Linked DNA regions of Saccharomyces cerevisiae S288C. Each later gene encodes a partner of the first gene's protein in a complex. Each region holds a gene or a part of one and is shown in the gene's direction. Other genes may lie near its edges.

Region 1 (3,753 bases):
AAGTTAATCACAACTCTGACGGTGTTGGTATCGTTGCTTCAGTACTGTTGCGAATTCAATAGTGGGAGCATATCGTGTGAACGCACGCAAACGCTTTGCCATTATACCAATCCAAGAGTCTGGAACACCTACTTTTCAAGAAATTGTGAATTATACAAAAATAAAGTTAGTCCCGGTTTCGATATAGTGGCGCGTAAATATGACACGGCTGTCAAACCTGTCATCGATGACGCTACAGTAAAAGTGAACAAGGTCGCTATACAGCCTGCATTCAAGGTCATCCATTCACAATGTAAGAAATGGAACTGTGGAAAGTATTACCAATTGGTCCGCTCCCCAATGGTCAAGACTAGACGATTTTTCTTCGCAAAATACAATGCTTTTGTGAAACCTAACTTAGACAAATTCTTTACTGCGGAGTTTCGCTCTCATTTGAAGGAAAGAATTTTAAAGTATAAAAATATAGGCCATTATTACTTTACTATCACTTCAAGATGCATCAAATCCAAATACGACTTTATTGTTGGTAATACAGAGGAAAAATTAATGGGAAAGTTCAAGAATAAGGACACGCATGGCATTCATGGTTCTGTCACACGTGAGCCTTCCTCGGAGGACATGGTTTTAACCGTAAGTACTATGGAGTCTGACGAAGAGGAGCTAACTACAACAAGTACTCAAACAGTGGTTGAAACAATTACTTTGGACCAGGAAGAGGCTAGCGCTGTTGCTAATCATGCGCACGACGATGAGGCTTCCACAGACGTTGAAGGCTCCACAGACGTCAATGTCAATGAACAGGCTCTGTTGCAAGAGGATTTTGACATGTGGAGTGAGACTATATTGCAGAAAACACAAGACGTCATACAGCTATTTGAAAAGGATGTTTCCAAATACATCAATGGTAAATTGGTTGAGGAGGCCAACCATTTTAAAGCCAAGTTTCAATCTTTAGATGATAAATCTAAGAAGTTCTTCTCCAAGATTTCGCTAGCCATTAACGATATTGAATGTGTGGAAGGCATTGATAGTGAAACTGGCAAGAAAATTTTCTTCGATAAATCTGGAAGTACTGAGATTTCTCAGTACATAACGAGAGAGTTAGTTCGTGAGTACTTCAACGAGACGCGCTCGACGTTAGACGAACTGACAAATGCTATGGAGAAAGATTTGAGCGAAATCACTGATGAAATTGAAAAAAAAGTTAATGCAATTAGAGAGGAAAACGTCGAGGTATTTGAAGAATGGGGTGATATCATTGTAAATGAATGGTCCAAAAGAATGGCTTATGTGGATGTTATCAACGCTCACATGGGTGCAGATGATGACACTACGCTTGATGAAGAGAAAGCAAAGTCTTCTGTTAACTGGAAGAAGTTTTTGAAGGGCAAGAAACAGATCATAGAATCTAGAGACAAGCTGGCTCACCATTCCGCTGACTTATCCCGTGTTAACGCGTTTAGGCAAAAAGTGCAAAAGAAGATATTATCGTTCACTCAAGAGAGTGGTGAGTTTTTGTATATTCTAAGATCGAAAGCCAACCTGCAATTTCAGGAACGTGAAAGAAAGGAACGTGAAAGAAAAGAGCGTGAAAAAGCTGCAGCAGAAGAGTTCCAAAGGCAGCAGGAGCTATTACGACAACAGGAAGAAGAAGACGAAGAAGACGTATCCTACACCTCTACTTCGACCATCACCACAACCATTACCATGACATTGTGATGAAATTCATGCGCTTGCTATACACACACACACACACACACACACACACACACACAATATCTATCTATATATATATGTATGTTCTTTATTGTTTGTCTTTACCTTTATATATAAACATATATAGCCATATAAGAATATAATATTACCACTCCACTGTATTTTGTATCCTGCCTATTTTTGCTAGATTACAGGACGCGCGAGCCTTTCAGGGGAGGGAACTGATGAATCGATCAACCAAAAGAAAGAGCCAAAGGATTGGACCAGAACTGTTACTGTTATAGCAGAAATATTAGTAGTACGTTAAAGCCAAGCGTCGAATTTCAGCATAATTAAGAGGAAATGTCTGAATATATGGATGACGTAGACCGCGAATTCATTAACTGTTTGTTCCCGAGCTACTTGCTGCAACAGCCTGTGGCTTATGATTTATGGATTTTATATTTGCAACATAGAAAACTCTTTCACAAACTGAAGAACACTAACTTAATCAACGCTGATGAAAATCCCACTGGCGTTGGAATGGGCAGGACAAAGTTAACTGCTTTAACAAGGAAAGAAATCTGGTCTAAATTGATGAATTTGGGTGTTCTAGGCACAATTTCGTTTGAAGCTGTCAACGACGATTACCTGATTCAAGTCTATAAATATTTCTATCCAGACGTTAATGATTTTACTTTGAGATTTGGTGTTAAAGATTCAAATAAAAATTCAGTGCGAGTTATGAAAGCTTCCTCAGACATGAGGAAAAATGCTCAGGAACTATTAGAACCCGTTTTATCCGAACGTGAAATGGCGCTTAACTCTAATACCAGCCTGGAAAATGACAGAAATGACGATGATGATGACGATGATGATGATGACGATGATGACGATGACGATGACGACGACGACGATGAATCCGATCTGGAAAGCTTAGAAGGGGAAGTGGATACTGACACGGACGATAACAACGAAGGAGATGGCTCTGACAATCACGAGGAAGGTGGAGAAGAAGGAAGTAGAGGAGCTGATGCTGATGTGTCCAGTGCACAGCAGCGTGCCGAAAGGGTTGCGGACCCATGGATATATCAAAGATCTAGATCAGCTATTAATATAGAAACAGAATCAAGGAATTTGTGGGATACATCTGACAAGAACAGTGGTCTACAATACTACCCCCCTGATCAGTCTCCAAGTTCTTCCTTTTCTTCTCCTAGAGTATCGTCTGGTAACGACAAAAATGACAATGAGGCAACAAATGTTTTGTCCAACAGTGGTAGCAAAAAGAAAAACTCAATGATCCCTGATATTTACAAAATACTTGGGTACTTTTTACCTTCTAGATGGCAAGCTCAACCAAATAACAGCTTGCAGCTATCTCAAGATGGTATTACTCATTTACAACCTAATCCTGATTATCACTCATACATGACTTATGAAAGATCAAGCGCTTCTTCTGCCTCTACCAGAAATAGACTGAGAACCTCTTTTGAGAACTCTGGGAAAGTGGACTTTGCAGTCACTTGGGCAAATAAGTCATTGCCAGACAATAAGTTAACTATATTCTATTACGAGATTAAAGTTCTCAGTGTAACGAGTACAGAGAGTGCTGAAAATAGTAACATTGTTATCGGATACAAGTTAGTAGAGAATGAATTAATGGAAGCGACTACAAAAAAGAGTGTTTCTCGTTCAAGCGTGGCCGGTTCTAGTAGTAGCTTAGGTGGTAGTAATAACATGAGTTCCAATAGAGTACCTTCTACTTCTTTCACTATGGAAGGTACTCAAAGGCGTGATTATATTTATGAAGGGGGCGTTTCAGCCATGTCTCTTAACGTGGATGGTTCCATAAATAAGTGTCAGAAATACGGATTTGATCTTAATGTATTTGGCTATTGCGGATTTGACGGTTTGATAACTAATTCTACAGAACAATCTAAGGAATATGCTAAGCCTTTTGGTAGGGATGACGTTATTGGTTGTGGCATAAATTTTATCGATGGCTCAATTTTTTTCACGAAGAATGGTATCCATTTAGGTAACGCATTCACCGAC
Region 2 (3,753 bases), on another chromosome or scaffold:
AGACTCTTGCTGCTTCAACTGTTGCTGCTCTTGTTGTCTGTCAGTAAGTAAAGAAGCCAGACGGTTTTCGATGGTTGTGATATGATTTTGTAAAGAATGGAAATTCTGAGTAGCAATACTCTGCCTGAAATGGGTAGAATTTGATAAAGATTTCAGTTTAGCTAATTCATCCATAGTAGATTGAATGTTTAGATCATTTGCTGTAGTGGTAAGTTCGTTGTTTTCAAAATGTTTAGAAAATGAAACTACCCTGTTAATTTCATGACAGGAACGTTCATCAATATTGTCCAGCACTTCATTCTGATTCGAGTTTACGGGTTTATCGTTATTAATGTTATCAGTACCAATGCCATTATTGGTTTTATTGTAAACTGGTACTTGTTGGAAATGAATATCAGTAGCAACAGGAGCATGCATTTGAGGGTGAATATTATTTAGCTGAAAGTGAGAAATATTGGGCGGCATGTGGGGATCCGGTATGATGCTGACCAGCCGCTGAGGAGCAGAAGGAATTTGGTGTGTATTTCTATAATGTGAGTTGTTGGATATTTGAATATTAACGGCGGGAAGAACAGAATTAATGTTGTTATTTTTTATAGTGTTGTTACTATGGTTGTTGTTATCATTATTGTTGGGATGATGATAGTAGTATGCGTAGTTGTTGTTTGCGCTGTTTATATGGGCATTCGGTCCATTATAATGCTGCAAGGGTAATGGAGAATTTATAGTTACAGTAGAATGCAAAGGATCTACTCTCGGAGCAGAATGGTCAAAAACAAGTTGTGGAGGACCGTATGTGAACCCGGGCAGTGCTTGTGGCTGTGTTTGAGAGAAGGGGTAGATATTGGGGGCTTGCATCTCGATGAAATTTTTTGAGACAAGTCGTAAAAGCCCTTTATTAAAGTGAAAACAAACAATTCACTATGAACGAAAACAATATTAGAGCAAAGGAAATCACTAAAAGTAGATGGAGAAAATAAAAAAACGCCGTGAACGGAAATAGAAGAAATATGAGGGGACGCAAGGAAGTAAAAGGACCAGGAAAGAAAAAATCCTCCTTCAATATATACCAAGATATACAAGAAACTGAAACTCAAAAAATAACTTTTATACAAGATTGCCGACACGAAGAAAGGAAACGATAGCCGAATGTCTTAATGCAATAACAACTGCATTAACAATTAAGCAAATTTAGGAAATTTGCTTATAACCTTATATTTCAAAATAACCGTTGAGTTTTAGCTTTTGCACAATTCCGCGCCGGGCCCCGCGCAGGGAAAATCGCAGCAGCCGGAAAAACCGCCATCCAGCACCTTCAGTTGGGGAAAGCAAAGCAACCGAACGAAACTATATCTGAGATAAGGGCGGTGCAAAAAGAATGTGAAACCACGCTTGAAAAATGAAGTCACGGTTACACTATCTCCAACTCTGCAGGGTACAGTGCTTCTGATCGTGCATCCTTTTGTGGTCTGGACCAGCGTCGACGCGGCGACAGAAGTAGCGATGTTTCGCAGTGATAGACGCGTAGCGGTACAGGCCTGCGGCGGCTGTTGTGCGGTGACGTGCCCATGACTCAACAAAAAAATAAAAATAAGCAAACGGAAAAACCATATTAGTTCCCCTTTCTGCTGCTCCTACTCCTGTGCGTTTTCTCTTGCGCTCCTTTTTTCCCTGTTTTATTTTTTTTGTGTTTTTCGCTCGGCTTGGGTTTGTGTGTACGGCCCTTTTTGGGATCCCGGAGTTTATTTGACTGTTGTCCGGATCCGTTCCGAGTGAATGGTAATCGCTCCATTGTGTTGCTGTTTATCACTATCAGTGTCGATCTCGCTTTCCTGACTCTGCCGGCGCGGTGCCCCGGTTCGTTGCAGGAGACATTTTGATGGTACATCATTTTTCTTGAAGCTAACATGTGTAATTTGGTCATTAAATTGCAAGCAAAGGGGCAGTAGAGACAAATATCAGCCGGATGAAGATATATTTGTGTGTGGTAACAAATAGAAATGACTATATCTACTCTTAGTAACGAGACCACGAAGAGCGGATCTTGCAGCGGCCAAGGCAAGAATGGTGGGAAAGACTTTACGTATGGAAAGAAGTGCTTCACGAAGGAAGAATGGAAGGAGCAGGTGGCCAAGTATTCTGCCATGGGCGAGCTATATGCAAATAAGACAATACATTATCCGCTGAAAATTCAGCCCAACAGCAGTGGCGGCTCGCAGGACGAGGGATTTGCTACCATACAGACCACACCCATAGAGCCCACACTGCCACGGCTTCTGTTGAACTACTTTGTTTCTATGGCATATGAAGACTCGAGCATTAGGATGGCCAAGGAGCTGGGATTTATACGGAACAACAAAGACATTGCGGTTTTCAATGATTTGTACAAGATCAAGGAGCGTTTCCATATCAAACATCTTATTAAGCTGGGGCGTATCAATGAGGCGATGGAGGAGATAAACTCTATCTTCGGGCTGGAGGTGCTGGAAGAGACTTTCAATGCTACGGGAAGTTATACGGGTAGAACTGACAGGCAGCAGCAGCAGCAGCAGCAGCAGTTTGACATAGATGGAGATTTACACTTCAAACTGCTGTTACTGAATTTGATCGAGATGATAAGAAGTCACCATCAACAGGAGAACATCACCAAGGATTCCAACGACTTTATACTCAATCTAATTCAGTATTCTCAAAATAAACTTGCAATAAAGGCTTCGTCAAGTGTCAAAAAGATGCAAGAGTTAGAATTAGCAATGACTCTGCTGCTTTTCCCCTTGTCAGATTCGGCGGACAGCGGCAGCATTAAGCTGCCCAAATCGTTACAAAATCTGTACTCGATATCTCTAAGATCTAAGATAGCAGATCTGGTTAATGAGAAGCTGCTGAAGTTTATTCATCCAAGGATTCAATTTGAGATCAGCAATAATAATTCCAAATTTCCAGATTTGTTAAATTCCGACAAGAAAATAATTACGCAGAACTTCACGGTGTATAACAACAATCTCGTCAATGGTTCAAATGGTACAAAAATAACTCACATTTCGTCTGACCAACCTATCAACGAAAAGATGTCAAGCAACGAGGTCACGGCTGCTGCTAATTCAGTTTGGCTAAATCAAAGGGATGGAAATGTTGGCACAGGTTCAGCGGCGACAACTTTTCATAACTTAGAAAATAAAAATTACTGGAATCAAACTTCTGAATTGCTTTCCTCTTCAAATGGAAAGGAAAAAGGTTTAGAATTCAATAATTACTACTCTTCCGAATTTCCCTATGAACCAAGATTGACGCAGATAATGAAACTGTGGTGTTGGTGCGAAAATCAGCTTCATCACAACCAAATAGGGGTTCCTAGGGTCGAAAACTGACATACATAGTACGTATATATTTATATATGTGTGTGTGCGTGTGCATGTGTGAGTGAGTGTGTGTGTGTGTGTGTGTGTGTGCCTACCTGCATGTATGCATTTAGCAATTGATTTTTCTTTTTTTTTTTTGGAAGCTTTCATAGTATGAATTCGCATTTTATCGTGTTTCCCGTATCAATCTTCAGGAAACATAATTGAACATCATCGATATTCAATGGCAGTAGTTCATCTTTATGATTGTAAATTTTGACACCGTTGGAAATCGTAAACTTTCTTGCCCCTTCACCGCCCTCATTCTTAATTATATCGCGATATATTTCGCAATCTTTAAAGTAGTGGTAAAGTCTCAGCCTCAATACACGCAAGGTAGTACCAAACTCAGGTC

Evidence for each region. Proteins that work in one complex are often made in the same cells at the same time.
Region 2: the proteins of VID30 (region 1) and GID8 are in contact, whole or in part, in a cryo-EM structure (PDB 7WUG), measured with the Saccharomyces cerevisiae proteins. Residues at the interface, in NP_011287.1 of Saccharomyces cerevisiae: Leu35 (codon at 2,161), Glu528 (codon at 3,640), Tyr529 (codon at 3,643), Ala530 (codon at 3,646), Lys531 (codon at 3,649), Ile557, His558, Leu559, Gly560, Lys603, Trp604, Ser606, Leu607, Tyr609, Glu610, His611, Ile612, Cys613, Arg614, Leu681, Gly682, Glu683, Asp684, Arg686, Phe687, Leu692, Val693, Arg694, Pro695, Val697; in NP_013854.1 of Saccharomyces cerevisiae: Phe27 (codon at 2,079), Thr28 (codon at 2,082), Tyr29 (codon at 2,085), Lys31 (codon at 2,091), Lys32 (codon at 2,094), Cys33 (codon at 2,097), Phe34 (codon at 2,100), Lys36 (codon at 2,106), Trp39 (codon at 2,115), Gln42 (codon at 2,124), Val43 (codon at 2,127), Tyr46 (codon at 2,136), Ser47 (codon at 2,139), Gly50 (codon at 2,148), Leu52 (codon at 2,154), Tyr53 (codon at 2,157), Pro84 (codon at 2,250), Glu86 (codon at 2,256), Thr88 (codon at 2,262), Leu89 (codon at 2,265), Pro90 (codon at 2,268), Leu92 (codon at 2,274), Leu93 (codon at 2,277), Tyr96 (codon at 2,286), Phe97 (codon at 2,289), Tyr102 (codon at 2,304), Glu103 (codon at 2,307), Asp104 (codon at 2,310), Ser105 (codon at 2,313), Arg108 (codon at 2,322).

What each region holds. Positions count from the first base shown.
Region 1 is NC_001139.9:67,613-71,365, forward strand, and holds the start of VID30 (glucose-induced degradation complex subunit VID30), read left to right. Parts: upstream 1-2,058; coding exon 2,059-3,753. Other genes in the region: SHE10 (She10p), read left to right, coding at 1-1,719.
Region 2 is NC_001145.3:538,304-542,056, reverse strand, and holds GID8 (glucose-induced degradation complex subunit GID8), read left to right. Parts: upstream 1-2,000; coding exon 2,001-3,368; downstream 3,369-3,753. Other genes in the region: GAT2 (Gat2p), read right to left, coding at 1-858; ERG29 (Erg29p), read right to left, coding at 3,506-3,753. UniProt on the Saccharomyces cerevisiae protein: Component of the GID E3 ligase complex recruiting N termini and catalyzing ubiquitination of proteins targeted for degradation.